4 linked regions of the Rhinolophus ferrumequinum genome follow. The protein of the gene in region 3 interacts with the protein of the main gene of each other region in a pairwise test. Links are inferred from orthologs where the notes say so. Each region holds a gene or a part of one and is shown on either strand. Other genes may lie near its edges.

Region 1 (7,264 bases), on a different chromosome or scaffold from region 3:
ATAACACAACAGCCTTCCTAGATTGGGGGCCACCCTCCCCATACGATTTTCCACTCTTGAAGCACAGAGCTTGCACAGTAAGGAATTAAAAAAAAAAAAAAAAAAAAAAAAAAAGTCATTTCTATGTAGAAATCAGATTCTGCCCCAACATCATGAACTAGACTATTTACAAACGTTCACATTTTAAGTATTCCTTTATGGTTGTTCTCTCCTTTCTGTCTTGACCCAGGGACTGGTACTTTCCCTTGACTGATCCTGAAGGGACGGGCATACTATAGGGGAAGGGGTGGTGGGCTCCTCAGAGCTACTGGCACCAGCCCTAGGGTGCTGTCCCTCACCACAGGGTGGCGGATGGTCTCCTCCCAATGGGGGAGAGGGCTGGAGCAAAGGCAAGGGGGATTAGATGGAGTAGGTGGTTGGGGCAACTCCCCATAGGCACAAGCATCCTTAGCCCTTCCTGAGCCCATCCTATGCCCTCTCAACTGGGGGGTGGGGGGGGAGGGTGACAATAAGGGACAACAACTAGTTGCAGTGGGATCAACCCAGTCCTGGGTGGGGGGAGAAACCTCCCACACCAGTCCCCACTCTTATTAACAGCCAACAAACTGTCCATCCATCTGGGGGTGGAAATACATGGGCAGGTAGGCAGGAAGAATCAGGCTTGCGGTGCCCCCAGCCTCTGCCCAACAGAGGAGGAATCGAGGTAGCAAACGGCTGAAATGCTCCAACGAAGGGGTGAAGGAAGTGAGGGAAAGGAAGTTCCCACTTGTCTACAGCTCCCACAGCCCAGGGGCTGGAAGAAGGCAGACCTTACTTGTAAAGTGCTGGAGCCTCTAGCAGGGCTGGGCCCTAGGCAAGCTTGAAGAAAGCAGGTCAGGCAAGGGCACAGGAACCAGGCATTCCCCATCAGCATATGCCCTGCCATGCTCCTTGTAGGGACTGCTGGGCAAGGTGGGCTGGTAACTCTGCTCTTAGCCCTTGCCAGCCACCAGCCACTTGTCAGCATACAAACCAGCACCCAAACCAACAATGCAGAGCACCCAACTTCCCCGCTTACAGCTGTAGGTTCCGGGCCAATGGAGTCTATTTAGGGTGTGGCTTCAGCCTAGGTTCAACGGAAGCCACACCTTGAGCCTGGGGTTTCTTGCTGAGACAGGGGGTGCTTATGCCTGCCACCCCCCAGGCTCACACCTCATAGAGGATCACAGGGAAATCCACGTGGATGCGGGGGGGATCCAGCTTCACGATGCCCTGCCATGGAAACAGAGGCTAGTGAAGGCCATCTCAGCGCCCCTACTCCAGGAAGCCTTCCTGTTCCTCCCAGCTCCTCCCCCACGACCCCCCACCATGACAGCAGACCCCATGTCTCCTGTCACACTCCTCCACATGGAGGAGACAGGAGACTCCCCATGTCTCCTGTCACATACCTCCACACACTCAACACAGGCTTTATGACCAGTGCCCAGTCCCTCACCTGAGGAATCAGGTTCTTATGCACCCGCCTCAGCTTGGCCCGCTTCTGCCCGTTCTTGGTGATGATTGTCTCCTCATAGAATTCGTGAGCCAGATCCCCATCCTCGTCGTAGAACATGGAGCTGTACAGAAGGAGAGGGGAACAGGCTGGGCTGGAGCCTCATACCTGCTTATGGCAAATGCCCCAGACCACTGCGAAGTGTGCCCACCCCCAAATGGGGAGGGACAACCTTGGTGGGAGAAAGGGAAGATAATATTCCTGCGGAATCTCTTGCTTAGGGTCTGGGGTCTACTAAAGGAAGTGAGGAGTGGGGTGGTGGCCAGTGCTACTCTCTCAGACCCCAAGAATGGAGGTTATTTCAGGCAGCCAAGGCCAGTTCTCATCACTGGTCTGTCCAGGAAGAACAGCCACTCCAACTTCAGGCAAGGACTTCTAGAGCGGGCAGGATGGCGACCTGAGCATGTTGGTCTCTCTCCAGAAGACACTGCTGGCCCAGGGCCGAAGCCTGAGATAGCACATGACTGAGCTAGGAGGGAGCCTGAAGAAAATAAGGTTGCATCCTTCCCATCCACGCCCTGGTGGCTGGTGCAGCCAAACTGCCACTGTTGGGTCTCCCTAGTATTTACAGCCAAATCTCTAGCATCACCTAAGTGCCAGTCCCCAGGGGATGATCAGGGCCAGGTCAAACTAGTGCTCCTGTCTGGACCCCTGGGGAGAGAAGGGAAGTCAGTGCTCCAGATCTGGAGAACATACCTGTGTGAGGGTCTTTTTTTTCCTGGGCCCCATCCCCAACGCCAGGGCCCAGTCCTACTTTCCTGGTCCCTACCCTCAGAGGTCCAACCTCACCACTGTGGGTGACCGAAGCAGCCAAAACAAAGGGTCATTCTCCCCTCAAGATTAGGAGGGAGGCCAGGAGCCGTTAACTTGCAGGCTAGGCTGAAGGGATGAAAGGAAGCCATCCTGACGTCCCAAGAGGCCCTTAGGTTTGCCATGCGTAAAGCTACTTGCCCAGGGACAAGCTACAGGCCCATTCTTCTTCTAGGGACACCTTAACAGCAGCCAGGCCGCCGGGAACCGACTGCCCGGCTTTTCCCATCCCTTGGCTCCAATGAAGGCCCGAAATATGGGAGTCACCCTAGCTCGGGTACAGGGAATACAGCGGTGGGAGCTACCCATCATGTGGGGCGCCTGGCCGCCCGCTTGTCCTCCCCCGGGCGGAGCCCGCGCCCTTACCCGCGGCGCGTGAATACGAAGGGGGGCACGACTCGGCCTCGCGGACGCACCAAAGCTTGCTCAGAGACCGCCGCCTCCGGGCCGCCACCCCCCGCCGCCGAGGCGAAGGGCCACAGGCCCCGAGCTTTGGAGCCGCTGGCGCCCATGTCAGGGGCGCCGGCGCATGGCGGACCCCGCGGCCGCTTCGTTCTCACAGGGCCGTCGGCGCCGCCATGCCCAGCCTGGGCCTCCGCTCGCAGGTGCCGATGCCGCCGTCTTCCGCAGGCTCCGCTGTCTCCACGGAAACTTCATTTCCGCTTCCGTACGCTCCGCATGCCACTCTTTCTGATTGGCTGCTCCTCTCGTCGGTCCACTGAGTGCGACCAATAGCCGACCTCGGACGCTAGGCATCCCGGCACGCACTGGGAGACGTCAGGTCCCGGCAGGCCACGCTCTCTCCAGCTGGGGTAACTCCCACCTAGGAAAGCAGTGGCTACTCCTAGTGGCTTCCTGGGCATGTGCGGCGGCTCCAACGTCCCGGTCCCCCATAGGTCAGGTGCAGCGGGCCTGCCCAAACACCCGGGTTCCCCCAAACCAGCACTTTGGGACCTGACCCCAGGCCAGGCTGCGCGGTGCCCGTCTGGTCTCATTCTATTCCCATACCGTTTTTTCGATCACTACTGTCGCGTGTGGGGAGGAAGCCAAACCTAACGAAAATGAAGGACTTGGCCAAATTTCATATAGCTTACATTCAAGGCTGAAGAATTTCAATCTCAGGGTCCTCCGCAAACCCACCAGAAGGTATGCTTCATGATGGCAAGAAGTAACAGGTGTACCTTTAGCGTCATGAGCAGTGTCTACAGTAGTAGCTCAATAAATATTTAGTGAAGCGCCTCCTACAGCTTGCAGGGTGTGTGGTTTCCCTAATCTCTAGCTACAGCTGATATTCTTGGCCACACCAAGACCTGAGCCCCAGGGTGCTGACTGATGACTGAGTACATGTCTGTACCCCACATCCTTCACAAACTGGTCTCACGGTGACCTTGAAAAGGTGCTGTGAGCCTGTTCATCACCCTTGGCAGCTACTGGCATAAGGCACAACTGGGGCTTAGGGCCCATAATAAAACAGTCCAACAGCGGGAGCTTCTTACGTCTTTATTCAGCCAAATTTTCTCAGGCCCAGGTCCTGATGATGATTGTCACCCCCACCCCCTTCCCCACAGGAGGCATTCAGCTGAGACCACAAAATGTTACATACATTCACACGCATCATCAAAAATACCCAAAGTAAAGACCTTGGCTTTGACTGGCAAACAAGGCACGGACCTGGGCCAATGCCGACACTCACACAGACCCTGGCCCAGGGACATCCTCCTTGAAGAAGGCACTGAGGCACTGTTGCTATACCTTGAGATAGCATTGGCTGACCCCAGGGTGTGTGTGGAGTCAGAGGGCATCATAGAGGGAAACCTAGACACTTCTTTGATGCCTGCCTTATCTTGAACACCCATCCTTGGCTCTGATTAGGCTGTCCTGAGACCCCATCGAAGACCTAAAACATACAACCTTTCCCCAAAGAGGAGGACCCTCATCGCTGTAAACACGACCCTGGTGGTAGGGTCTCCAAGATTCTTGTATCTGAGACACCAATTAAGGAAACTTCTGTCTGCTCTTCCCTTGCTGCAAGCCTAGAGCAGCTTCCCAGGGCAACCCTGGCCCACCATGACCCACAACATGAAGGGCAAAAGGGGACAGAGCCATGCTCTGCTACACCCACCGGTGGACACAGGGAACCAGTTCCTTCACTGTTTTCTGGGCTCATTCCCCCAGCAAGAGAGGGCTTCCACGCACACTCACTCCTCAGGCCACATGGCCCTGTCACACTCACACAGCATGCCCTTGGTGCTGCCTACTCTCCCCCTTCCACCTAGGGGTAACAAGAGGTCATCCTAAGGGGCAGGCGTGCAGGGCCTCCTGGATCTTCTGGCGGCAGTAAGAGTACTTCTTCAGGATCTGGCGGAGGTGTTCCTCTTCCTCCCGCTGCAGGATGCGCAGGAAGTTGTGTAGCTCAGGCATGCTGAAGGCATCCCACTGCAGGGGAGAGGGGTGACACTAGCTGCAGCAGGCATAGTTAAGCTAGCAGGCCCTCCTCAGAGAAGACCAGAGCATCGTCACACAGCTAGGATGGGGCTTTCTAATGTCAGGTTCTTGCCTGACTGGTCTGTGCTAGGATTCCCACCAAGTCTCTATGGAAGATGGGTCCTACAAAGTAGGGCAGTTGTCTCGTGGACAGGCAACCAAACCAGATGTTCCCAGTTACCCGTGGACAGGTCATGCCTATACTTTGAGTCTAATCCCACTCCACAGACCCAATACCTTTGAGCCAGAAAACTTCCAGTTGAAAAGTCCTAATGCCTGAAGGGGACCCTCCATGACATCCTGGGTCCACTTGTGTAGCTTTTTTTTGTTTTTTTTTTTAAACTTTTATTTATTTAAGTGTGTTTTTCCAGCACCCATCAGTTCCCAGTCAAGTAGTTATTTCCATTTAGTTGTGGAGGGCGCAGCTCACAGTGGCCCATGTGGGGATCAAACCAGCAACCTTGGTAAGAGCACCGCACTCTAACCAGATGAGCTAACTGGCCGCCTCACTTGTGTAGCTTTGATTTAAACTGGGATCACCATACCATCAGATGGACTCCTGCATCTCCTAAGAACTTTCCACAACAGGAAAGTTGCAGAGCACTAAGATACTTCCTGGCTTCTTGGAAGAGGCCCTAGACCTTGACACGAGTGGCTAAGAAACCTTCACATTAGCCACAAGACTCACACAGTCCTGCAGAGGCTTCGCAGGGCTTGTCCTCCAGCCCTATTCGTCCTCCGAGACTTACTGTAGCTGCAACCCACCAGCCCTGCCCAGTGACAACCAAGAAACAAAGGAGGGCTGTGTACTCACATTCACTTCCCCAGAGTCATTCTCCTTCAGGACAAAGCTTAGGGTCTTCTCACTGGGCCCTGCAAGGAGCCGCAGCCGCAGGGGTTGCTCATCATCTGACAGCTTCCGGAGGTACACTGCAGGCCGGGAGGGGAAAGGAAGTGTATGATTAGTCAGGCCCAGCCCCTTCATACACAGCTGCATGCATATATACCCTCACACACGGTGGGGTGGGGTGGGGTGGGAAGCCCACCTTGGCCATGACGCTCAGCTCGCTCAAAGAGCGCAAACTTGCGGGGGTCATCCACCACCAAGAACTTGCGCAGCAAAGCCTCGATGACCTCTCGTGCCCGCGTGCGTGACAACACATGGAGGTGCTTGACCGCATCCTTGGGCAGGTAGAAGGAGGTGCGGCGCCTCACAGCTGTGCCCCGCCCTGGGCCCCGCCGGGCATCCTGCAGGGTGGGTGGCTTCTTGCTGGAGGGTACTGAGACAGGGCGCACCAACTTCAGTTGAACCTTAATGAAGCCTGTGTAGGAGCCGTCCTTGTTCTAAAGAGAAACCAAACCATGACAAGGTTCCTGGTGAGAGGGAACAGATTTGGGTACCGCCGGTCCACTTGGGGCTAGGCTGGGTGTGAATAAATCACTGCTTGGGCCCCCCAAGAATACCTCAGCTGTGACCCTCTGGACATCAGGCACACAACTGGGGTTCCTGCCTCTCCCCACCCCCTGCCTGGGCTGTCAACTCACCAAGCTCATGAAGAGGTTGCTGTTGACCTGGCCATTGTACTCCTTGATCTTCTGCTCAGTCTCAGCCTGAGAAAGGTCAGGGGTCTCCCACTCCACAGCTTCGTCCTGAAAGATGGGCCAGCATGGATACAGGGCCCGTAAGGAACCCATCCCGCTGCCATGCATGTCACGGGCAGAGAGGTGAGCCGTTGGTGGGCCACGCTGAAAACAGCCTCTGGGGCAGCCTTTGGAAACTGACAAGAAAGCTCGAGGCCTGATGAGGAAAACTCATCACTGCTCCTAGATCTGCATGCTACAGATAGAGGACGCAAAGGCAGAATCATTTGGCTTCTCTCAGCCCCCTGGCGGGGCCTCCTCCAGGTGAGGCCCTAAGAATACCTTAAAACCAAGGCAAAAGAAGGCACAAGATCAGGGGCCAGGAAAAGATGGCGGATGCTGAGGAAGGACTCTTGTTTACAGTAAAACTACCTCTCAACTGCACAGCCTGATGCCAGCACTTTAGTTAGGTGGGGTCAGGGTGTTGTCCTGGAGAAGGCAGCCCACTTTGCCACTCTACCCTGGCAAAGGGCCACAACCCACTACAGGGTGAGAGGTATGAAGATTGGTATACACCAGCGGCCCAGCCACCCGTGGGCAGGAGGGGAAGGGCAATCTCTACCACATTAACACCCCTGGGTGGAGGACTTGGCGCCAGCCATGCATGTCTCAGACATAGTGAGGAAACCACTGTGCCATGTCATTTGATCTTGACCCGAGCTGCACAAAATGTAGCATCAGGCCAGGTACCAATCCGCCTGAGATGCACAAGCAGCCTCCTGGTAGAGCCTGTCCCACAAGCCAAGCAGGTAGCTTCTGCACGTCCTCCCTGCCGTCTGGATGTTCAATGCAAAGATG
Region 2 (7,399 bases), on a different chromosome or scaffold from region 3:
AGGCCTGTGTAGTGGATGGAATTTAAGTGTACATTTCAGCTGCTGCAATAACATCTGGATTACTGCCTCTCTAGTTATTTTCAGAATTACACATAGATTTTCTGCTGGAGCAATGTATAAAGAAATAAACTGAGAGCTCCAAGTTAATTTAACTTGGTAGAGGGTAGGATGATATATTATAGTTACTGATCATTACAGTATTAATTTGTACTTCCCATGAAACATCCTAAAAGACTTTACATTTAATAGGAACGCTACAGTATTCAAGTCTCTTGCTTCTCTGCAGAAAAAGGTCCCACTTCAGAAGTTCAAAAATAGGCCTCCACCACCCTTTGGTACCCCTAGTTCCCAGACACAGGTAAAAAATATATATGTACTCAGGGAACCAGCTCTGTGAAAGAACTACGCAAGCCTGACTTGGCTGCCTTGATCATTATCCTAGAAATCTCTAGACCAGCACAGTCCAGTAAAACTTTCTGTGATGATAGAAATGTTCTATGTTGATCAATATGGCAGTCACTAACCACCTGTGGCTAGTAAGCACTTGAAATGTAGCTAGTGGAACTGATAAATAAATTTAAAATTTTAATTTACTTAAATTTAAATGGCCATATGTGGCTAGTGGCTACCATATTGAACAGGGCAGTTCTACACAGATCATGATTTCAGCATTGGACAGGTGCCCTAAGCAGGGAAGTTAGGACTAACCTACCTTACAGGTTACAATAGTCCCGACATCTGGCAGTAACTGGGACTCTGTTTCTCTCATTACAGACACGACAGGAAGCTACAAAGAAAACAATAAAATGTGAGTATCCTGGCTAAGCCTTGGGTAAAGGTATTCGTGGCTTGAGAATAATATAGAAATTCCTTAGTTGAAGTCATGAGGGCAGGTGGAATACAGATACATTTGTAGCCTAGAGCAGAAGCCTAGACATTTTAGGAAATAGGAAGGCCAAGGGGCCACAGGAAGAATGCCGCTAAAAGATATAATGTAACCATTTCAGATTAGTTCTAACAAGTTTTTGGTGATTTTCTTGGAATTTATTGGTACATAATTATATGGCCTATAATCGTGGATAAATTTGACTCTTTTCTCCAGGTATACCGCTTCTTTCTGTTTCTCATTTTATTGTATAGGCTAGAATTTCTAAATAAATGTTATGTAATAGTGGCCATACTTGTTTACTTCTAGTTTAAGGGAATACTTGTAGTTTTCTCTTTGAGCACGGCATTGACTATTGGAATAAGATAGATAGTATTTCTGAACCTCATCTTTTATTAATCTCGTCCTTGTTCACTATGCTTCAGCTCTCCTGGCCTTCTTTCAGTTTCATCAACTCACTAAGTTTCTTTCCATCTCAGGATGTCTGTTCAACCTGTTCTTTCCGCCAGTACTAAGTCCTCCCACCCACCCAACTCTTACGTATTCTTTAGATTCTGGTTAAATGTCACTTCCAGTGACTAGGGTGGGTTTGCTTATGATGACGTTCTCATGGTATCCTGTCGTATTCTTTTAAAGCAGTCATCGCATTTGAACACTTATTTGTTTACAATTTACCTGTGCCCCTTGACAGCAGAGATCATGTATATTTGGCTCATTACCATCCCCTTAGAGGTCACTACTGAGAGTGGCACATGAACATGCTCAACAGATACCTGTATCTATGAAATGAACAAACTGAGGAAGGTCAAGGACATTCCCAAAATTGACTGAATAAAAAGCCTCTCATTTTACAGATGAGGAACAACGGAAACCCAGAGAGTTTGTTTCTTACATAAAGTAGAATCAAGGTTTAGTTAGCCAGCACCTAAGAGTGTTCTAATTCTGAATCCTCTTTCTACTATGTTACCTGTCTTTAAGCTGTTCCTTCGAAGTCTGCTTATCTGATCTTGAGTTAATCCTAGACCAGCCTCCAGCACAAGGATAGTTTTACTAACGCACTCGACAAATGTTTATTGAACAGTTACCTTGTGGTACTCTCTGAGTTATGGTGGTAAGGCCTGCTTTCATGGATCTTGAGTTTAGTAGGAGAAAAGTCTAATGGGGAACTGAGTGTTTAATTATATGCTGAGATAAGTGCTTGGAAGGAAAGGAATACAATTCTTTGTGTTTAACAAAACACACAGTAAACAAAAACCAAAACTCCTTTCCTCAGCTAGTGGACAGGTGTCCTAAGCAGGGAAGTCTAGGAGGGCTCCTCTGAGAAAGTGAGACTTAGAGAGGCTATCTGAAAGATAGGTAGGGATTAAATAGGCTAAGGAGGAGAGAGGAGCGTGTTCCAGACAGATGGCGTTCCTATAAAGGTTCTGTGGCAGGAGAGAGCTTAGTGCGTTAGCGACACTGAAAGAAGCCTCTATGACTGACTAGACTAGATTGCAGTGAGGTGGGAATATGGATGAAGCCAGATAGGTAGGTGACATTCGGGCAGGATTCAGCAGCTCACGGCAGGGCTGCGCCCACCTCTGCTCTTCCCTCAACTTCCTCTCCTGAGTGTCAGGAACACAACCAAGAGTGACCAACACAACTAACTGGGCTGCGCTAAGTGTCCAGCAGCAGGGACCACAGCTGGAAGAAACTTAGAGACCAACTCTTCTACTGGTGAAGCTCTAAAGACGCGTCCGCGGAGCCGCTGCATAAGGACTGCGAAATCAAGGGCAACCTAAGGGAAAAGCAGAGACAGAGGAGGTGGGAAGCCGCCTTTACCGCGCCATTCTCGCTGCTTTTCGTCATGCAGCCAGCAAGCGACGAAAAGATGTAGCCGTGCCGGGTGTAGGTGCCGCTGCCTGGGCTGGCCTCCTCCAAGTTACAGAGCCGTTCGCCTGCAGAAAAAACGCTGCATCAGCCACGTGTGCCCAGAATCTGTTGGCCATCCAGCCTTCCTTCCTCTGTCCCTATCCAAGATTCACAATGGGCACCCCTCACTTACCGGGGATGCAGTACCTCACGGGTGGCGCCATGACTATCGCTGCCCCAAACCCCGAGAGAAACGAAGCCGACTTCTCATTGGCCCAAATCCAGTTCCTCAGTAAGAAACGCACCAATTGGTGCTCTTGTCACGTGATCTCCGGGAAGGCCTTCTCGAGGGGTGAACTACATTTCCCAGATCGTCCCGGGCCGAGTCCGGGGGAGGAGCTCCGGGAACGCGTGCGCTTGCGCTTGTGGTTGAGGATGGTCTGGCGGCGGGTCCGGGTCCGCAGGCTGGCTCTGTGGGCGGCGGGCCATGGTTGATTGGATTGAGCCGGGCTGTCCTGGGGCGCGGAGCTGGAGGGGGTGGCAGTGAGCAGAGGCTGCGGGCTGGATTTGGCTGATTGGGGAGTCGGCAGGCGGCAGGTAAGAGCGAAGCCGCGGCCTTTGCTCCCCAGTCCTGTCCCTTTTTCTAGGGTCGGGCCCTGTTCCGGGGCCTTATCGTGAGCCCGGCTTCCTGCTGTCTCCTCGCCTAGCCCTGCACGTCCGTGCCCTTTTCGTGCCCTCCGGGCAGCCGTAACGCGCCAAGTTGAAAGGCCGACCAGCCCACGTCGCCCATTTCACAGATTTACAAACTTAGATCCAGAAATAGGATTTGAATTATCCAGTGTCTCGAAGATAGTTTAAGGTAGAGCACAAACCGGAACCCACATTTTTTGACTTCCAGTCCATCACACTTTAACCATACCACCCTCATTGAGAAATAAAACCATGCCCCGGTTTTTGTAACTGCAGTTTCCGATCTTACAGTCGTATCCTTTCAAGAGTCGTGTGGGCCATTCCTTAACTTTTTCTCATCCCAGCGTGTTAGTCCGAAAGGGAAGTCTGCACATGAATAAAGTGTTGCTGTTACTGATGGTTGACAGTACTGCTGGAGATTGCAAACGTCCTGAGCGCAGCATCTTTGTCCAGATGAGAGGTGTCACGGCTTTCATCAGTTTCCTCTGCCGTCTGGTGGCTTTGGAATCTGTTTTTCCCTGTGTAAGCCGCCATCCTCCAATCCCATTTCCCCTTGGGAAACAGATGGTGACTTAGAGCCTTGAGAAGAGGAGTGCGCCATGGCCTGCAATCCCCTCTAATCTGGTGGCAGATGTCCCTATGGCCTGTGGTTACTACTGAGGGGTCAGAGTGCTCAGGGCTTGTACTTGGGGTGATAGTGAAGCTGTGCTTTGCTCTTTTTCCTTCCCTGGTCACTCTGGTCATCCACCCCTCACCATCCCCTTCACAATTTGTCAAGTTCTGCTTTAACTGAGTTTCCTGAGATGAAAACTCCGTATGTTCAGTTGTGACCCCGTGGACTACAATACATATCTCTTCCCTGGCTTCCCCAAACCCCACTAACTAAAATGAGTGGGGGGCTTGGCTTGAGACTTTATTCATTCAAATCTGATATGTAGCTCTACATCTACAAGTTTACATGTTTGGGTTGATTTTTAGTTGGATAGACTTGTTTTCTAAAATGCCTTCTAGCTCTTAAGTGCTATGATTCTAAAAATGAAGACTAATAGCAGCAGACACTTATTTAATGTTATCACATTGGCAGGAATGCCCTTGCTGTTATTTATAGGACAGGTAGACATCTGACAAGCCTGTCCACTTCTGCATCCCAGGTCATTCATTCAACAAGTATTTATTGAGCATGCCCATGAGCCGGGTATCATGCTAAGCTCTTTACGAACATTTCATTTATACGTTACCAAGTGTGTATATGGAATCATAAAGGGTTAGACTTGGAAGGGACCTTAGCGTTTACTTCTATCTGCTCACTGAATGGTAACACAAGGAAATTGAGTTCCAGCAGGATTTGGTGATTTGTCCAAGGTCACAGAACCACTTAAGGGCAGAAGTGAACCCTAAGTCAAGTTATGGGGCAGGCGAGAGTTGGTAAGTCTAGTCCTTGAGGCAGGCATTTCCTGTGAAGATTCTGGAGATGATTGAAAACAATCCAAAGAGTGGAGAATCTGAGGAGGAAATTTTTTTTGTTTTTTTTTGTAGACAGAAGAGATGACATATAATTCGTGTTTATTGTAGGTGAGGGATATATCTTATTTGCAAGCTATTGCTATAAAAAGTATTTAGCAAATAGGAAACTCGCCATTAGCCATAGTAAGGGACAATCTAAGTCATTTGGACTTGTTGTGGTGTAAAATATTTTGTCCCACTTTTAAACATTTGATTATGGTGGCCATATATACTATTTCAAAAATTCATATTTTCAGCCAAATCATGGTTCCAAACAATAGGAGTCCTAACTCAAAGGAGGTAGGAAGATTGAGTTTTCATTTTCCATCTTCTTCATTGCTTCTTAATTCTCTAGCCCCTAGGAGGTGATATGGGAATGGCCAGTTTCTTTATCCTCGTGTAGAGAGTAGGTCCCTACTGAATTGCCTTTCTTCTCTTTCTCTGCTGGCCTTGTCTGCTGGATTTCTTTTTCCCTTAGGTCGTTACAGGGTTTGTGGAAGGAGGTAATTAACTGTCTTTGAAAGGCCTCTTGTGGTGATGAGCCAGGATGCAAGGCGAGTACTTTGCTCCAGTTACTGCACTGAAACCATCCTACAGTGCAGCCGCCTCCTCCAGTTTCTGCTGGGTTTTGAGCTGCCTGTTAAATAAGTCAGTGGAGTTGCTGAGGACAGTACTCTTCGTAGGGGAAAATCAGATGAGTTCTTTTCTAGTAAGGACTTTAATCTGCAGAATGAGGAGACAGTCATGGAAGGAATCTGTCTTCTCTTGTGGGCATTGCCTGGGCACTGGCCTCCCACGGCTGTTGGCTGAGGTAGAAACCACATGGAAGAGATGAAGGCACTTGCAGAGGAGCCATACAAAGGGCTAAAGAGCTGGGAAGGCTGGTTGGGAAGCTTGGGGCCAAGAGCAGCAGCGGCAGAGGCGGCTCTTGAGTGTAGCTAGAACAGGGTGGGGGCGACTCAACTGCAAGGGCAGGCCTTGTGGTTTTCATGAGCCACCAGCATGGAGTCCTCCTCCCCCCGCCACTTCCCCTACCACCAGTATTTTCCTGTCAGTGGTGTTATTCTGCTATGAATACCCAAAGTTGTCTTGGCTTCTGTAGCCTTGGGGTAGGGCTAGGAATGGAATTGAGACAAAGCATCTTACGTCGTGCGAGGCGTAGTTGAGCTGTCCTGACAGGACATACTACCAGGTTGGGTCTGTAATGTCAGCCCAGAGAGAGTAGGAAGGATGAGTATATTTTGCCAAGACTCAGTACCAGGGAAGAGTGAAGTGCAGGGTCCACACGCTGTGTAGCGCCCCCTTTCCCCCACGCTGTTCCTGAACGAAGAGCAATTGTTAGGAAGTAGGTCGAAGGGCCGGGACAGGTGAGGGCCCTGGGAAACCCCTGCTGCACTGGCCATACCCACAGAGACACAGGGGGCAGTGTTGTGTACATTGGCTGTACTCCACCCAGTGGGCCGTCTACACAGACAACTCCAGAGACCCTGCTTTGGCTTGGAGCTGCCTACCTGTCCTTCGCCTGTTTATTGTGGCCCTTTACTCTAGGTGTGCACTGTCTGGGATTTGCTGTGCAACCACACGGTGTAATGTAAGTATGATTTCTGCCTGCTCAGAACCTGCACACCCTACTCCCTGTCATCTGGTTGGGACACTGGCACCATACATTCCGTAGAGAGGTGAAGTGACTGTCCTACTTCCCACAGCTGGTGACTGGCCCAGCCAGGCCTCAGTCTGAGGTCTTTGCCTCTAAGCTGGTGCTCAGGCTCTCCCCATCGGTGGAATAGGGAGGGACGGCACCCAGGCTGGCCACCCACAATGGTGTGCTCTCCTAGGAGCCATGCAGGGCCAGCGGAGCCTGCTGCTGGGCCCCGCCCGCCTCTGCCTGCGCCTGCTTCTGCTACTGGGCTCCCGGCGCCGCTGTCCCCCTCTGCTCCGGGACCTGGTGCGGCGCTGGCGCTATGGCAAGGTCTGCCTGCGCTCCCTGCTCTACAACTCCTTCGGGGGCAGCGACACCGCTGTCGATGCTGCCTTTGAGCCCATCTACTGGCTGGTGGACAACGTGATCCGCTGGTGTGGAGTGGTGAGTGACGCTCCGGAAGAGGCCTGTTTGGGGGCGGCAGAGGGACCTGTGTCTGAGGGACCCGCAGCAGCCCCCACTGCAGGGACATCCTGAGTTGCTCTGGGTGTTGGCAGGCTCTCCCTGCATCTCCCCCCTCCCTGGTATTGGCAGGTGTTCGTGGTGCTGGTGATCGTGCTGACCAGCTCCATTGTGGCCATCGCCTACCTGTGTATCCTGCCCCTCATCCTCCGCACCTACTCAGTGCCACGGCTCTGCTGGCATTTCTTCTATAGTCACTGGAATCTGATCCTCATCGTCTTCCATTACTACCAGGCCATCACCACTCCACCTGGATATCCACCCCAGGTGGGTCCCCACAGGGGCTGGGGCAGGGAAAGGGCTGCAGG
Region 3 (7,849 bases):
TGTGTATATATTTTATATGTCTGTGTGCTGTTTACTGGAGTCCTCAGCCAAGACTTTTAGATGTGTTTGAGGACAAATTGCCGATCGTTGGGTGGGCAGGAAAAGGGTCCAGTGTGGTGGTTTTGTATAATGCTGAGCACATTAATGAGACTCACTAAAAACCATATTTATTTTACCTGTGGCTTCCAGAGTTAGACAAAAGAGGTTCGGAGTTTTCCAAAACCAAAACATAAATCCAAAACAGGGAACTTGTGCAAAATTACCTGGATTATTCAGGCCAACTGACTTTCTTTTCCTGAATTTTTAACATTACAAACCCTCTGTCTTTATAGTGTATCTGTTTTACGCACTCCACCTTTTGTACAACTTAGGTTCTGAAATCTTCCTAACCTGTTTTTAAAATAGCAAGTGTCTTGCTAAAGCTACTGACACTTCCTAGAGCCACAAGCCGTTCCCACCTAAAAAGGAACACTGTAATGACAACAGGACAGGTAAGAGGGAGTGACTATACTGAGGTCACCTGTGATTCTACTTGGACACAACCTCACACATTAAGATGACCAGAAACAGGGCAAACAACACCTCAGTACTGGCAGTAGTTAGGCTGAGAAAGGTTAAGCAGAAAAATGTGACTTTATTTAATTTTATCAAGTTAAGTAGGTTATGGTTTGGGGACACTCAAACCTCTTTTGCTACCTACCAAAAGAAAAAAAAAAGAAAGAAACCTTTACTTTGCCTGATTAATGTTTTACATTTACAAGTTTTCTTAATTGGGTGAAGAGAAAAAGCTGATTTCATACAATATGTTCTTACCCTTTGAAGTACACAGATTGCCAACCTACCTTAAATAGAAAAGCTTCTGAAGCAATTATTACCTTGGTGTGTTCTGTGAATTTGTTAAATATAGCGATTCACAAAAAAAGGCAAACTTGTCATCATTTTTTAAATTTTATTTTAGTGGCAGGAAAAATAAATAGCAAAGAAGCCAGCGAGGTTCAAGAAAAAAGTAGAACTTGCAATTCAAGTCCCCTCTTTGAAAAAGAAGGAAATGTCAACAGTATTCCTTCACTTGTAGTTCAACACAACAAGCATGTAAGCAACGCTTTTCAAAATAATAGTTTATAATAAAATAGGCAGTTTCCTCATGTGAGAAGGCAATTTTTGGCTTACTGCAATTCACCTAGGTTGCACTACCCTACATCCATGTTAAGAGTAAAATTTTGTGTTAATTTTGCGTGGTTTTAGTTCTCTCCTTTACTTCCCCAGTTACAAGTGGACAATGGGCTAAGGGCTTATATGTACTAATCAAATCCTCCACAAAATTTGGTTTCACTATCAGAATTTCAGTTTGCACATAACATTATCTCAATAATAATCTCAATATCCTAACCACTTTAGAATCCGTTTACCATTCTGTTAGCCTTATATATAGGATGATATACCTGTAAGAATGCTTTATAGGTCATACCTAGATGCATACTTTCTGCATTTACACACATTCTAAAGTTCTTTTTAGCATGTTTAAGAACTCCACTAGGTCGGATCTAAAAAAAGTAGGCGAAAAACATTGTTTCTTGGACTCCAGATCATGTACCTGTAGGAAAAGAGCCCTTTTATAGGATACGATAAATATCCTAACTACAGATTCTGAAACATGTGTTCAGGACTTCCCTCCTACACTGACTGAATTCTGTTTACACCAAAGGAAAGCTCGGCAGCCCCAACATTTTTATCGTTATTAGGGACCCACCACATAAAATTTACGCTCGGAAGTCAAAGTCCTATTAAAATTGCCTCGAGGATAATTTGGTTAATTGTAAAGTTTTAAACTCTGCTCCCCACAACCGCATCGCCCCCACATTTACAAAACCTAATCACCCAGGTTCGGGGTCTTTGACTCATCAGAGAAGAATGCGGCTGAGCAGTTATCTATTAATCCAAAATGCCTCAGCTGGAAAGATATTTCACCAAGAACTTTCAACGCTGAAAGGGAGGGGGCAGGGAATAGAAGGTATCTTTTAAGACGAACTTTCCCCGACTTCTTCCTTAAACCACACACACAAACACACCCCACAACTTCCAGGGCCGGACGCAGAACTAAGTCCTGATACTCCGGGTCCCAATAATCTGAGGTCACCCAGGAGTCAGTCTCGATTCCGCTTTTAAAATCTCGGGCAAACAAAGCTGAGCATTATACTTACAAAAGTTTCCGAAAAGTCCTCAAAGTTACGCAATGTTAGGCACGCACCCACAAAAACACACTCTTCGAAGATACACTCTCCCGGGACCACAGTCTGCGGCAATTCCCACCCCCTGGACTGTGGTGCCCCGGGACCAGTGCCCGCATCCCGCCAGCCTCTCCCCGCCCGCCGCCCGCACTTCGGAGAAAGCCGGCGCGGTTAGCGTCCCAGGTCGTACCCGCCACCGCACCGAGCCATCAGTACCTCTTCCTCCTGAAGGTTGGCCTCGTTCGGGGTGTTCTCCTTCTCGGCTTTGACGCCGTTGTTCATCTTCCCGGTCCTCCCTCGCCGGGCAGGGCTGGGGCGCGGGGCTGGGCGAGGGCGCGCTCGCCCACTTTTCCCTTCCCCGGGCGCGGCGGGTTGGAGCCTGGGCAGCGGCGTCTCGAGTTCGGGCTCCCGGGCGCGGCGCGACTGCGGCGGCGGGCGACTCAGGAAGTGCAAGAAAGAGACCCGGCAGGGCGAGGCGCGGGCTGAGTAGGGGCCGGAGACAATCGGGACCCGGGCCGGAGACCTGGAGAGCGAGGGCGGGCGCAAGGGGAAGGAAGGAAGGAAGAAAGGATGGGGCGAGGACGCGCGTCCCAGGAGTGACCCCAGAGAGTTGGGGATGTGGCCGACTAGGGGTTGGGGGCGACCGCAGCCCAAGCCTAGCCGCTGCTGAAGGGAGGGGGCGAGAGGCGCCCAGAAAGGCGGCGGCGGCGGAGGAGGAGGAGGAGTGGGACAGAGGGGCGCGGGCCGCGGCTGGGACGCTGGGACGCGGAGAGCGGCTGAGTGCGCGCTCCTGGTTCACTCTGGGAAGTCCAGCAACCAAGCTGCGCCCTTTCTTTCGCCTTCCTCCCTCCCCTCTTCCCTCCCCCTCCTCCCTCCGCCCTCCCTGGACGTGGGCTGCAGGCTGTCGCCGAGAGGGACAAGACGCGAACCGCGAAGCCCCCGCGGGAGGAGGGGCTGTGCCGGGGGCAGCTGCCCCGCGGCCCAAAGGCGTGCGCCCCGGGGCGGGGGGGGGGGGAGCACGGGCGGAAGCGGCAGACCCCAGCCTCCGGCTCCGCTGTAGGTCCGAGGGAGAGGGCCGCGCGGAAGGAGGGAAGGTCAGGTCTTCCGAGTTACCCTGGTGGCAGTGTGGGGACGGAGTTGGCGAACTGGCGTGGCGGTGCTCGCGAACTTGGAGCGGGGCTTCGAGGAGACAGGCCCTCTGCCAGTGTGACCACCGCTAGGTGTGATGTGCTACTTTTGTTTGTGGGATTCTCACGAGGGATTTGCACCCCTACACCGGTTTACACCTATTTCTTCCCTTCCTAGTCCGCAGCTGGAAATGACAGGATGCGAGAACTGGAGTGACATCCGGGGGCAGCCTGAGCCGGGCCGCCGTTTTCAGGGCACAACTTCAAGCCCACTTCACACGCGGGGTCCTCCAAAACCTTTCCCACCGCGATCCCCACCCCCGATCCCCCGAACCGGCCGCCGCCGTTACTCTCCGCGAGGCTCCCCCGGGCCCCTGTTCAGTTCAGACTCTTGTCACAGCCCTTATCAGACTGTTCTGGAATTAATGTTTACCTGGCTGCCTTTCTGACTCTTTTGAGAGCTCCTCCCTGGAAGACAAGACCGTGCCCTGTTTATCTTTTTAATCCCACAGCTTTATAAATACGCCACCTGGTATATAGTAGACACTCGATAAATATTTGTTGGCTAAGGGAATGTTCCCCCTCACTGCAAGCCGAACCGGGGGCCAACAGAGCTGATCTGTAGAGTGTCAAAGCTGCTGCTTAAAAGAGACTCAGCATTCCGGGAGGTCAGCGCACGAAGCTTGTTCAGGCACCAACCTCGGACGGACCATGTGGCATCCTTTCCTCGAACCTGTGAAAAGGGAGTAGTTATATTTATCTCCCAGGAGTTTGCCATTAGAGCAGATTATAGTTTGATAGAGCGATAGCACCTAGCACCCATTCTTACCCACTTTAAGTGTGTGACACATGGAAGCTAACATTCTTATTAAGGACATTTCCATTTTTCTTGCGCCATAGAGAGCTTTTCCAATACTGTATCATTTAAGCTTTCAAACTTGACTACTACAAACACCTACGTTTAAAACTCCATACATCAGTAGATTCTCCCTCACTTCCTACCTCCAGGAATTTTCTTTCCCAGCATGCTGTTCCTTTCCAGCACAGCACCAAACACAATTTCTAATTATTTGCTTGCTCCACTGGTCATCTCTCCCCCCTCCCCACCCCTACTAGACATTCTTTACCCTTATACCGTTTTAAGTGCTGCTGGCTATGGGGTGAGGGTGGTGGTGGGAATTGAAGATAAGGCTCCCGCTGTCAGGGAGTGTAAAGTGGTGTTGTGGCGACAGGATATCCAAAACAACTCCACTGGCAACATAATCACAGATCCCGGTTCAAATTGCGGAAAGCAAAGCAAATACCGCTTTAAGAGCATTCGGAAGAGAAAAACAGCAGTGATACTTGGATTTACATAGCGGATTTTTCCTGGTGATGAGGGGAGTCTGAAGATTTTGATAAAGAGATTTAATTGCTGTCGTGATGTCATTTCCTTCTATAGGGGAGACAGTGTGTATCCTGGGTGAAAATGAACCCAGAGTCTATTGAAATTGAAATTGAAGTTACCTGGACAACTGTTTCCACCTCCAGTTCCTCACTGGGTTGTGTGAGGAACCACGAGGGGGCAATGTCTTCCCGAGCATTGGCGAGGGGTGGTCTTGGGCCCCTGTGCTGACCTCTAATGCTAGCTCTACTCTCCTTGGCCTTTCTTGCCTGTTAACTGAATACACTGCACAAAAAGGTATTGTCTTGCTGGAGCCTGGCAAGGGCCCAAGAAAAAGGACAGTTGATCTAGTCCTTGATGATTCCAGTCCGACTTCTCTTATAAGTCAGTGGAAGAAGTATGATTCCAGGATGCTGGGCGAACCTTCCCTACCCCCACCCAGGGAAATGTGGCTTAATTCCAAATGTAGAACCTGTTTCCTTTGTCTTTAAGCCAAGCTGGCATTTTGTCCATTGTTAAAAGTCAAACACCTCTGAGATTAAAAAAAAAAAAAACAAAAAAAAAAAAACAAGAATAAGTTCCATGAGAGGATCCTTGTCTAACTTGTTCATTGTTGTGATCCCAACATCTAGATACTGCCTAATGCATAGTAGGCACTCAACAATGATTTGTGAATGAATGAAGACATTGTTTTATCAGTTTTGATTCTGAGGCTTAAATGACATTATCAGATCCTTCCAAGACCTGGCAGGAGGGACTGAATTAGTGGAGGCATGGAGAGCCATCACATGGGGCATGAGGCAGATTCATGGAGTGGTCATTAGTCATTATTTTGCAGAGAGGAGACCCTAGATAGACGACAGCCTGTGCAGAAAAGGACAATCGATGAGATTTCAAGAAATAAAAAATAAAATCACACGACTCAGCACGAGGGCCCCAAACCACAACTGAGCCAGTCAACTGACACATGCAGTTGACAACAAAGCAGGGAGACCTAAACTATATAGTCAATGGTGAATGAAATTCAAGGTGTCTTCAGAAAAGTGTGTAGGGATGGGGTAACATGCCAGTAAAAGGGGTACTCCTATTTTGCCCTTTTCTTTAGAAATGGTTTAGACTTATATGGAAGAACAATAGAGTCATGTTGCCAACAAAACTCAATGAAAATCTGTGTATTTGGCTATTTATAAAATCTTGTGAGTATGGGGAAAGTTTGAGTGTGGGGGGGGAGAGGGCCATGTACATTCATTTCGGATATAAATGATCTTTATGACCTGTTTACTACTTCAAAGAAAGAAAGTTTCAAAAGTGAGATCTCAGTAGCAATAGTTTCCAGACGCACTAAGACTTGTAAGACAACAAAGGGATTTTATATCCTAGAAAAATAGGGCTAATGACCAAGAAACATCTGCTTTCTTTCCTGCCCACCACCCTACAACGCTGCTTCTGGCCTACCAGGTTACATGCTATATTGCTAGGGAAATATTGTATGCACCTATAGTTTTTATTACTCATCTCTATTTCTCTGGCTATGTTCATTTTGAGGTGTGCTTTAAGAAATTCGAACCTAGAATTATGTCTTAAATGACAGGTCATTACAGATATTAAAGGCCTATTTTGGGCATGGTCTTTGTACCTATGTTAGCACTGCAGCAGAAAGCTGCAGTGTCTACCACATGTGTTGTGACTGTTATCTGTTCTGCATCCTCTGCTGGACCAAACAAGTTTTTCAGGCCAGAGACTGTGTTTTATTGGTTTTTGTCATCCATAACATTTCTTTCTCTTTCACCCACCCCCACCCACCTCCAGGCCATCACCATCATCCCCTGAGTTTATTTATTATTTTTCAATTGTGGCTAAAAACACACACAACATAGTATTGACCACCTGAACCATTTTTGAGTATACAGTCAGTAGCTTACAGTATATTCACATTGTTGTACATTTAAGACATAATTTAAGACCAGTCATTTAAGACATAATTTAAGACAGTCTTCTGATCTTTACCTCCTAAATAGTTCTGAGATTCAATCACTTCCCTCCAAGTACTCATGGAAGCCTACGCAGCCACATGGACAGGCTCACAGGGAAGAGGATTATAGCCCCAGCTGAGCTCTTAGTGGACAGCCGGTACCAATTGCCAGCCTTGTGAGTGAGTTATCTTGGAAGTGGATAATCGCTTAGCCCCAGCTGACGCCACATGAAAGCAAGATGAGCTGTCTTCACTGACTCCTGCCCAAATTGCAAAATTGTTAGCAAAAAAAGTGAATGCTGTTGTTTTGAAACACTAAGTTCTAGGTTGGTTTGTTATACAGCAATAGATAACTGAAACATAATTATGTACCTAGAGGTAAGGTCCTGCTGTCACAGTGTGGGGACAGAGTCCCAGAGAGCAGTTTCCAGGCTCTCAGCCTCACGGGAAAGGTGCTGGCCCAGGTAGTAGATGGCCATCAGCTGTGGCTAATTGACCATCAGCTGTAACCAGTTAACCAATTAGCCACTGATATAACTGCTGTGGCTGCACTGGTTGGTCAGTCTGTTGGTTGGCAGGCAGAGAAGCAGACAGCAGGTTGCAGGTCGCGTGGATCCAGCCTCCAGTGAGACTATAGCGGTATGACTCCCCTATCTGTGGCTCCGTGGGTGTTCCTTTTTGGCCTAGCCATATCCTGCATTCTTATGTGGGGAGCGGAACCAGGGACCCCGCAGGCCACCTCGCCAGACAAATGGCTCAGCGAGCAGAGTCCTCCGCACGACACACAGAAACCCAAAGTAAGTGGCAGTGTCTTTGGAATCAGGTGGAGGATAGAAGCTGGGAGAATTTTGAGTAATCTGCTAGTGAAGAACATTATCAAAGAAGAGTGAAAGTATTGTTATTATAGGATGGAGAAAGGGGAACACCATTTATACATTAGAAGAACAACTAGCTAAATTAGCCTGTTGTTACATGAAAGATACAGAAAAAATACATAATGAACATGTGGATCTGGCTAAGTAGCTATTTGGATACAATGTTGAAAGGGTTGAATGGTTTCTTTTAGATACTTATGATACAGTGCAAGAGAAATGAGATCGGCTGGAAATGAGATCGGCTGAAAAAGGAATCTTTCCAT
Region 4 (7,933 bases), on a different chromosome or scaffold from region 3:
TGGTGTATCCTGCATTTTCAAAGGATTTTTTACCCATGGTGATTCTGAAACATCATGCACAGGTCATTTGGAAAATACATATTTACTGAGCTATGCCCATCTTCCAAATGTTGACATGCATCATTATACAATAATTAAAAAAAACAGTCATTCACGTTGCTGTTATAAGAAAAGTTTTAAATACTGGGAAACTGTCAAACTTGAGATGTCAACTTTTAAAGAATTCTAATTTTCACCCTCAAATTTTTATCATTGGTAACAAATACTGTCAACTGTTTTCCTGGAAGTAACAAGCTCACTTCATTAATTTTTCAAGAAAACATCCGTCACGCACTCAAGTGTAAAAAACTAGCTTGTCAATCGTTCTTTCAAGTAAAAATGCTGTTCCATGAAACATTCAGCTCACAAGTCAACGATCATACCCTGGAAGGCAGTATAAGTGCTTTTTGTGTAAAATTCATAATGAATGATCCTTCTGATATCAAAAAAAGGTTAGCCACCTTGTTGCAACAAGTTCGCAAACTTAATTTTCCAACCCCGCACTTCCCAATTTATCATAGATTCTTAAAAAATTAAAAAGATGTACTCGAGTGCTGAGATTTAATAAAATTAATCATTTTTACTGCTTCATCAAGGACATTCTCAAGTAAGTACAAGTTTCACACCACTTCTTTGCTTTATGCTAAGGCACCGCCAGTTGCTTTTGGACCACGAGTGCAAACGTCAGCGAAGAAAATAGTGTCTTAGTGTCATTCTAAAAATTGTTATGTCCTCACAGCTCCCCTGAAAGGGTATGAGGGGGTCCCCAGGTGTCAGTGGACACTTTGAGAACCGCTTTCCTAAATTATACCACTGGTTCAAGGTGGTATAAGAATCATCCTTGTTAGTTCCTTTAGTTTGAGAATGGAAACACTACCAAAATCCTGTTCAAGAGTCTTCATTCCTTAGTTTATTTAGTTTTGAGACACACCCCCAACATAGCTGGTATGTTATAACCATAATATAGGAAAGGGGCAGGAAATCAAGGGCACAGATTGCAATTTAATTCTGTTTAAAGATTCTATTTTGAGTACCTTTATGCTACACCAATAGTTCTCTATGTGGTAGTTACGTTAATCAGTCTCAGCTGAAGGAGGGCCGATTAAAAATGTAGAGGTGACACCTCCCTCCCCATCACACCCAAACAGACTTGGGGATGCGGTCCCCAAAATTGCACTTTTTGGCAATCTCTAAGGTACTTTTTATGCACCCCGAAATTAACTTTTGTGCTAAGTGGTTCGAATTCAAAGTCCAACCTCCAGACCGAAGAGCAGTATGTCTTGAAATTCAACGTCCTTCACCAAGAAACAGCCCTCTGTAGCCCCTCCTTTCCCCTGCATCTAGGTGTGAAAATTCCTGAGAGTAAAACTCCATTCTGTTCATGCTAAGAATCATCCTTGTTAGCTCCTTTAGTTTGAGATACACCTTCAACATAGCTGGTATGTTACGTGGGGTTTTGAGCTCCGGGGGGAGGTGTCTACATAGGGTAGAAGGCTATTCTGAGATTGTACCACCTCAATTTGGTACCTCCATTTCCACCTCAAAAATGAGACTGGGCTCAATGATTTACAAGGCTCTTCAGCTCTACCTTTTTCTGAGCAAAGAATGTCCACGACTAGTGAGCAGAGAAACGTGTCATCAACAGTTGGAGGGAATCCCGCGTCTAACGGGAGAAGACACCAGGACAACTCGCAGAAAGGAGGGAAAGCAGGTGGATCAACATCACTCCTTTTCAATAGGTGCTAAGAATCCAGAGAAAATAGTCCCTAGAATAAACATGGCGCCCACCGCGGCAGGATATAATAATCGGAAAATAGATTTTTTTTCCGCCTCATCCCATTTTATAAATCACGGCGCCATCCCAAAGAAATTTGGGGGCCGGGGGAGGAGACTGGGGAAAGTAACTGCAGTGAACTAAGACTTGGGATGTACTATCGGACCGAGTGGAGATTACATAACACAGGGGAGCAGCTAAGCCATCACTCCTTTTCCTCCTCGCGCTCAAAAAGAGCGCCCCACTCCTTCCCCGGGGTGCGGGGGGCGCGGGGGGCCGAGCACTCCCCCACCCCGGGGACGTCACCCCGCCGCCCCTCCCGCCCGCCTCCCCGGCGCGGCCTCGCCCCCTGGCCCGGCCCTCCCGCCGCGCCCCGCCGTCTCGCCGCCGCCAGCGCCCCCGCCCCTTCCCCAGCGGGTAGCCGCCCGCGCCCGCGCCCGCCCACTCCTCCGAGACGCCTCGCGCCGGGCGTGCGTGTGGACGTCGGGTGTGTGCGGGGCCGTGGGGCGCGAGTGCGCGCGCGCGCGCCGCGGCGGGCGCCGGGGGGCGGGGGCGCCGGCAGGCAGGCAGGCAGGGGCCTCCGCGGCCCGGTCCGCCGCGCGGCTCTCGCGGCTCGCGGGGCACACGCACTCACACACGCGCTCGCGCGCCGCACCCCACGCCCGCCGCCGCGGGCCGCGCCGCCACTCACAGGGGGGCGGGGGCGCGCGCTACCGGCCCCCGCCCCCACCCCTCGCGTAGCCGCCCCATCCCCCTCTCATTGTCTCGCCTCGGAACGCCTCGCCGAGCGAAAAGATAACGGAACCCCCGGGAGAAGGGGGTGGGGAGAGAGAAGGCGCTCTCGCTCACTCACCTCCCGTGGTCGTCGCCGCCGGTAGTCTGACCCGAGGAAGGCGCCGTCGCCTTAAAGGGACCTACACCCGGCGCCGGGAGAAGGGGGTGGGAGCAGGGGAGGGAACGGGGGTTTGGGGGGAAGAAGGGAAAGAGGGGACCGTTCAAAGCTCGTCTCCCTGAGGGTGCAAGGAAACCTCCCTCGGGTTCGAGTGATTTGAGGTGGTTTTTTTTTCCCGAGGGGGGCGGGGGGCCCCGAGGGAGGGGGGTGGGGGGGCCAAGGAATGCGGCTCCGTGTACGGGAGCTGGCGCGGGGGAGAGAGACGCCGACTCCCCCCACCGACCCTCTCGCCCCGCGGAGGGATACGGCTCGTCACTTCCGCCCTCCCCTTTTCGTGGCCTTTCAATTGGTTGGGGCGCCGGGGACGTCATGGGCTCATCCTAACCCCTGCCCGGGCTTCTTTTCTAGTCAAGTTTGCCTGGGCCTGCAAATAAATAAATAAATAAAAACAGTTTGTTTTTTTTTTAAATGAAATAATAATTAGCTTCAGAAGCCATATCTAAATTTTGGTTAGAATAATGGGATTTCCAAAGAAAATATTCCCCAATTCACTTGCCTGGACTTTCCAGGGAAATTTTGGGCATCTCCCCACTTTCTACCCAAGGCTTGTACCTAATCAAGAAGGGAACCTCATGCCACAGGCCAGATGGTGAGGCCCAATGGCACCAACAACTGTCATTTGAACAAAGGCAGCAAAATGGCACACTTCCTCAAGAGATTCAATCAATTAGCCTTATGGTAGTAGCCAGAAGTGAAGAACTTTTAAAAGCCATTTTACCCTGAACCCTTCTGGATTCTGAAAAGAAGCCACACATGATTGCTTATCAGGGTGATTCTTGTGTGAAAACTGCTTTGAAACCATTGTGAATAGACTCAGCTAAGACCCTCCATTCTAAGAAACCATAGACTCCACATTTGTGCTTTTTGCTTCAATCAAGGCTGAGGTAGGTTGGCCCAAAGAAATTGCTTAGTCCATTCAAGACCATCCACCTGTTATTTTCCCCCAGACAAAAACTAACCTCTTTTCCAGGAAACTAAGAAAATGTGTCCTTTCTTACCTTCCGAGATGATAAAACGCTAATATTTTCCTTGGCTATTTGAGGAGGATGTTGCTCTCTAAGCAATACACAAACATTTGCTCCAATCCAAATGCTAAATCCAGTACTTGGTGCGAGGTTGGGGAGATCCAGAACCATATTTCTTCCTTCTGTTAACACACACACTGCACTCAAACCACCAGACTAGGAAAATAAGCAGTGTAAGGGGGCCTTCCACATTGCACACCCATGTACATGAGTTCCCATACCACCATCCGTTCTTATTCCACTTCATCCCATTTCATACCAAAAACGTGAGTGATTTTCCGTGGTCATTCTCAGAAGAACTTCATTATCTGAAGGGAAAGAAGCACTAATCCTTTTGAAAATACTTCTGAAGCCTTTCCAGACCTGATCTGGAGAAGCCTAGGGTAAGATTATGGAATCAATCAGCAGAAGACAAATTCTACATGAAGCTCTAATCCCATTCTATGCTTTCCTGCAATAATTATTGTAACTTATTATAATGTAATTTGCCTCTGAAGTAGTCTTGTTGGAACATATATTTTGCCACGCTGTAAGTGCCAACTTACGCTCTCTGCCAATGAGGCCTAGCCCAACAGACTGGACCACACACTGTTGACCAATAACCTTTCACATACCATACTGAAAATGCATCCTGCATCCATTCACTCAACAATTATTTATTGAGTACTTGCTATATACCGGGTATGGTTCTATGTTCTGGGAATACAGCAATAAAGAAAACAAACAAAATCCCTAAACTCATGAAACATCCTCTAGTGAGGAGAGGCATACAATATACTAGGCGGGTGCAAAAGTAATTGCGGTTTACAAGGTTAAAAATAATTGCAAAAACCGCAATTACCTTTGCACCAACACAGAAACAAAGTGTTCCGATATCTATTGTTAGATAATAAATGGCTCCAAAACTTACTGGCTTAGAACTAAAACAATTTTATTATTATTTCTCATGGCTCTGGGAGATGATTAGGCTAAGCTAAGCAGTTCTCACTTGGAGTCTCAGGCAGTAGCTGGGGCTGAAGTCATCTCAAAAGCTTCCTCAAAAGTCTAGAAGTTGATGACTGTTGGCTTGGATTGCAGCTAGAGCTGTTGGCCAGAACAGCTGGCTGTTGGTATCTCATTGTGGCCGGGGCTTCCTCATGTCATAGTGGCTGAGTTCCTAGATTGTGTGGTCCGAGAGGACCCAGCAGAGATTGCATGGTTTTTTTGTGACCTAACCTCAGAGGTCACATAACATCATTTCCACCACAGTTACAGGCTCACCCCAATTCAAGGCAGGTGGGGAACATCTCTCAAAGGGAGTGGTAGAAACATCACATGGTCAGAAAAGTGTGTGGAATGGGAAATCTTGTTGTGGCCATCTTGGAAAAAGTGATCTGCCACACATTCTGTAAATAAATATGTAAATGTGATGTGATGATAGATGCTGTAGATGGGGAACAGGGCAGGATAGGGGGAATTGGGATTTTGAAGAAGGGGATGGGGAAATTGTTATTTTTATGTGGGGTGGTTGGAGGAGGCTTCGTCATTAAGGTGACATTTGAGCACAGATCTAAAGAAAGTGAAACCAAGTTCAGGTTTTACTCTTAGTGAAGTGAAGCCATTGGAAGATTTTGAGCGGAGAACTGACATGACCTGGCTAACACTTTTAAAGGATCATTCTCGCTGCTTCTAGAGAAAAACTGGTAGGGGCAAGGATAGCCACAGAGAGCCAGGTTGGGAGGCAAGTACAATAATGCAGGTGAGACACGTTGGTGGCCTGGACCAGGGTGGGAGCTGGGGACTTACTACTCTGTGACCCGTTTTTCTATGATGTAGTTTGTGCCCTGAGAGACAGTTTTGACATGTAATGGCTAACAAAGTGTGTGTGAGTGATGGTGCTATGCCTGCCACAAAGAAATAAAGAAAGAATATTGTGCTGAATGTTAACATGGGAGTTTTGCAGGGACTGGAGATACCTTTGAGGAACAAGTTTGGGGAAACAGGGTAAAGGTGAACAATCAGGGAATGGAGTAAACTCTTTGACATTATAAAACGTCCCCCAACTGTGCTCCAGTCTGGGAGGACTTATCAATCGTCGAATGGCTGGGGCAGAGTCATGTATAACTTCAGAGGATGTGAAGAAAACTCTATCACCTTGCACACTGGAGCACCATCTCTAAGCGTTCCCATTTCCAGAAACGTATTCCCCATGCTAAGGAGGGAATGCCCATATTAATTTGGACAGAGCTGGGACATGTTCCTGTCTTCAGCTAACACACAAGTTTCTAGAGTGAAGTAACAGAACTGATAGCTGTGATCGCTCTTATGTTTGAACCATCTTGGTACTCATGGGAAACCAAAGCAGCAGAACCAACGACCTGGATGGAATCCTTAGAAATCCATTCGCGTGCGCCTCTATAACATAATGGGGAGGACTCTGAAAGCCAATCCAGACTGGCCTATTGAAGAAATGGAACCCCATACTGCTGCTGAAAAGCTACCCCAGTCTTCAGTAGCCAACTTAGAAAAATTGAATCCTCTCCTTATGAGTTTCTTAGAAAGAAGGTCAAAAGTTAATGGAAGTACCAAGTTGGGCATCTCACAGGTAGGTAGCAGGAGAGTATTTCTTTTCTACCGTTTATGGAAACACTTATTTGCTTCCTTGGCTTATGGTTTCTGCCACGAGTTGAAAATTGGAACCACCTGTAGCTTGGAGAGTGTCAAGGCAGAAAGACAAATTATTTCAGCATGTCTTCAAAAGCAGTGAACCATGGGGGCCCTCTGCTGTCATTTTGCTAATATACAGACCCAACCACTGATTGCTCAGATTCAGTGTCAAGTTGACAGGTAGGTGTCAGGGTGGTCACCTGATTGTGAGGATTGTGAGGTCAGTCCAGGCAGAAAACAGCTCCATGGGAGAGAATGCCAAGTTTCCTTTACAAACCAGCATCCTGTTCCCTACAACACACACTCAGGGTCGTCGAAACCAGGCGCTCAAAGGGAGCTACTCATTTGGGAAGACCTCAGAGCTAGAAAAACAGTGGCGAAATCTTCACTATCTGAGCATCTCCCAGCTCAAAAAGGTTGACAGCAGATTGCACTGAGCCTGGGAGTCAAGAGAAATCAACACATAGGGGTGGAAAGGAGGACTCCGAAATGCCTTGCTTAGCAGGGAAACTGTCATGAAATAAAGGGCAGGTGAAGATCTGTGTTTGACCAGGTGTCAAATAAACAACGGGGAATTCGGGGACTACTGCTGGATTTTATTTAAGTAAATCATTTGCTGCCTCCTTATGTTTAGAGGAGTTGAGGACTTTTCTAGGGGCTCAGAAAATTCTCAGGAGGTGAGAAATAGCCAGAGGAACTTTCAGACTGGGTATTTAAAAGAAGAGTTCCCCATGAGACTTCAGTAAGAAGCAATTGAAGGTCTCCGTCTTCAAAATATATTTTGCAAGAAACACAGGAGCAGCAACTGCATCAGTCATCAAGATTTCTCTGTAAGTTTTGGTATGATTTCATGGGAGATAATGATTTAGTTAAACTTTGAATTAAATTAATATTATCAAAGAGACACCCATTAGCAAAGCTATATATCTAGGTTGTTGCTGTGGAGTTGAGCAGGTATGATTATAAAGTAATTGAATTGATTCCATACAGCTTCATGGAAAAAGGAATTGGCTTCCTTTACAGACACACTTGTTATGTGGCTTGTTCATTATAATAGATTGCAAAGTAAAATTTAATTAAAATTCTTTTTTTTCTCTAGGATACATGCTTTTCTAATTTAGCAGTGTTTGTATTTTATTATAGTCCTGGATAATTTCCAGACCACAACTGTGGATATTAAATAACTTCCCGGTTCATTCTTTTGAAGGACATAAGGATTAATATTATTTTACAGGTAAGAAGACGGAAGTATCCTCCAGAATAAGTTTTAAAGGTTTCTGGTGTAGAGCAGTGGTCAGATCCTTTTGGGTCTCTTATTGTTGAGCACGTACAGTAGGATTGAGAAGTAGCAAGGAGCCCATCTCCTAAAACACTCAAGGATTCATTTTTAATGTCTTTACTATTGCCTGAAACATATGGGTAATAAAATCTGAAAATGTGAAAGAGCCAAAACTCACCGATTTAAAATCATTTAACCTTCATTCATCCGGGAAATAA

Evidence for each region.
Region 1: the proteins of RBPMS (region 3) and TUSC2 interact in binary tests that used the Homo sapiens proteins (3 or more experiments, as listed by UniProt). The link is inferred for Rhinolophus ferrumequinum from reciprocal best matches to the Homo sapiens genes RBPMS and TUSC2.
Region 2: the proteins of RBPMS (region 3) and EXOSC1 interact in a two-hybrid assay, tested with the Homo sapiens proteins (2 studies listed by BioGRID). The link is inferred for Rhinolophus ferrumequinum from reciprocal best matches to the Homo sapiens genes RBPMS and EXOSC1.
Region 4: the proteins of RBPMS (region 3) and POGZ interact in binary tests that used the Homo sapiens proteins (3 or more experiments, as listed by UniProt). The two-hybrid records come from large-scale screens. The link is inferred for Rhinolophus ferrumequinum from reciprocal best matches to the Homo sapiens genes RBPMS and POGZ.

Annotation. Positions count from the first base shown.
Region 1 is NC_046300.1:6,269,816-6,277,079, reverse strand, and holds the start of TUSC2 (tumor suppressor candidate 2), read right to left. Parts: upstream 3,005-7,264; 5' UTR 2,854-3,004; coding exon 2,708-2,853; intron 1,596-2,707; coding exon 1,475-1,595; intron 1,252-1,474; coding exon 1,186-1,251; 3' UTR 1-1,185. Other genes in the region: RASSF1 (ras association domain-containing protein 1), read right to left, coding at 4,631-4,777, 5,640-5,755, 5,872-6,169, 6,371-6,475. UniProt on the Homo sapiens protein: May function as a tumor suppressor, inhibiting colony formation, causing G1 arrest and ultimately inducing apoptosis in homozygous 3p21.3 120-kb region-deficient cells.
Region 2 is NC_046299.1:26,347,192-26,354,590, reverse strand, and holds the start of EXOSC1 (exosome complex component CSL4), read right to left. Parts: upstream 3,017-7,399; 5' UTR 2,962-3,016; coding exon 2,931-2,961; intron 2,824-2,930; coding exon 2,708-2,823; intron 788-2,707; coding exon 713-787; intron 1-712. Other genes in the region: palmitoyltransferase ZDHHC16, read left to right, coding at 6,771-7,013, 7,164-7,358. UniProt on the Homo sapiens protein: Non-catalytic component of the RNA exosome complex which has 3'->5' exoribonuclease activity and participates in a multitude of cellular RNA processing and degradation events.
Region 3 is NC_046287.1:67,296,151-67,303,999, forward strand, and holds the start of RBPMS (RNA-binding protein with multiple splicing), read right to left. Parts: upstream 3,014-7,849; 5' UTR 2,511-3,013; coding exon 2,445-2,510; intron 1-2,444.
Region 4 is NC_046305.1:51,432,408-51,440,340, forward strand, and holds the start of POGZ (pogo transposable element with ZNF domain), read right to left. Parts: upstream 3,006-7,933; 5' UTR 2,667-3,005; intron 1,769-2,666; exon of another isoform or gene 1,628-1,768; intron 1-1,627. UniProt on the Homo sapiens protein: Plays a role in mitotic cell cycle progression and is involved in kinetochore assembly and mitotic sister chromatid cohesion.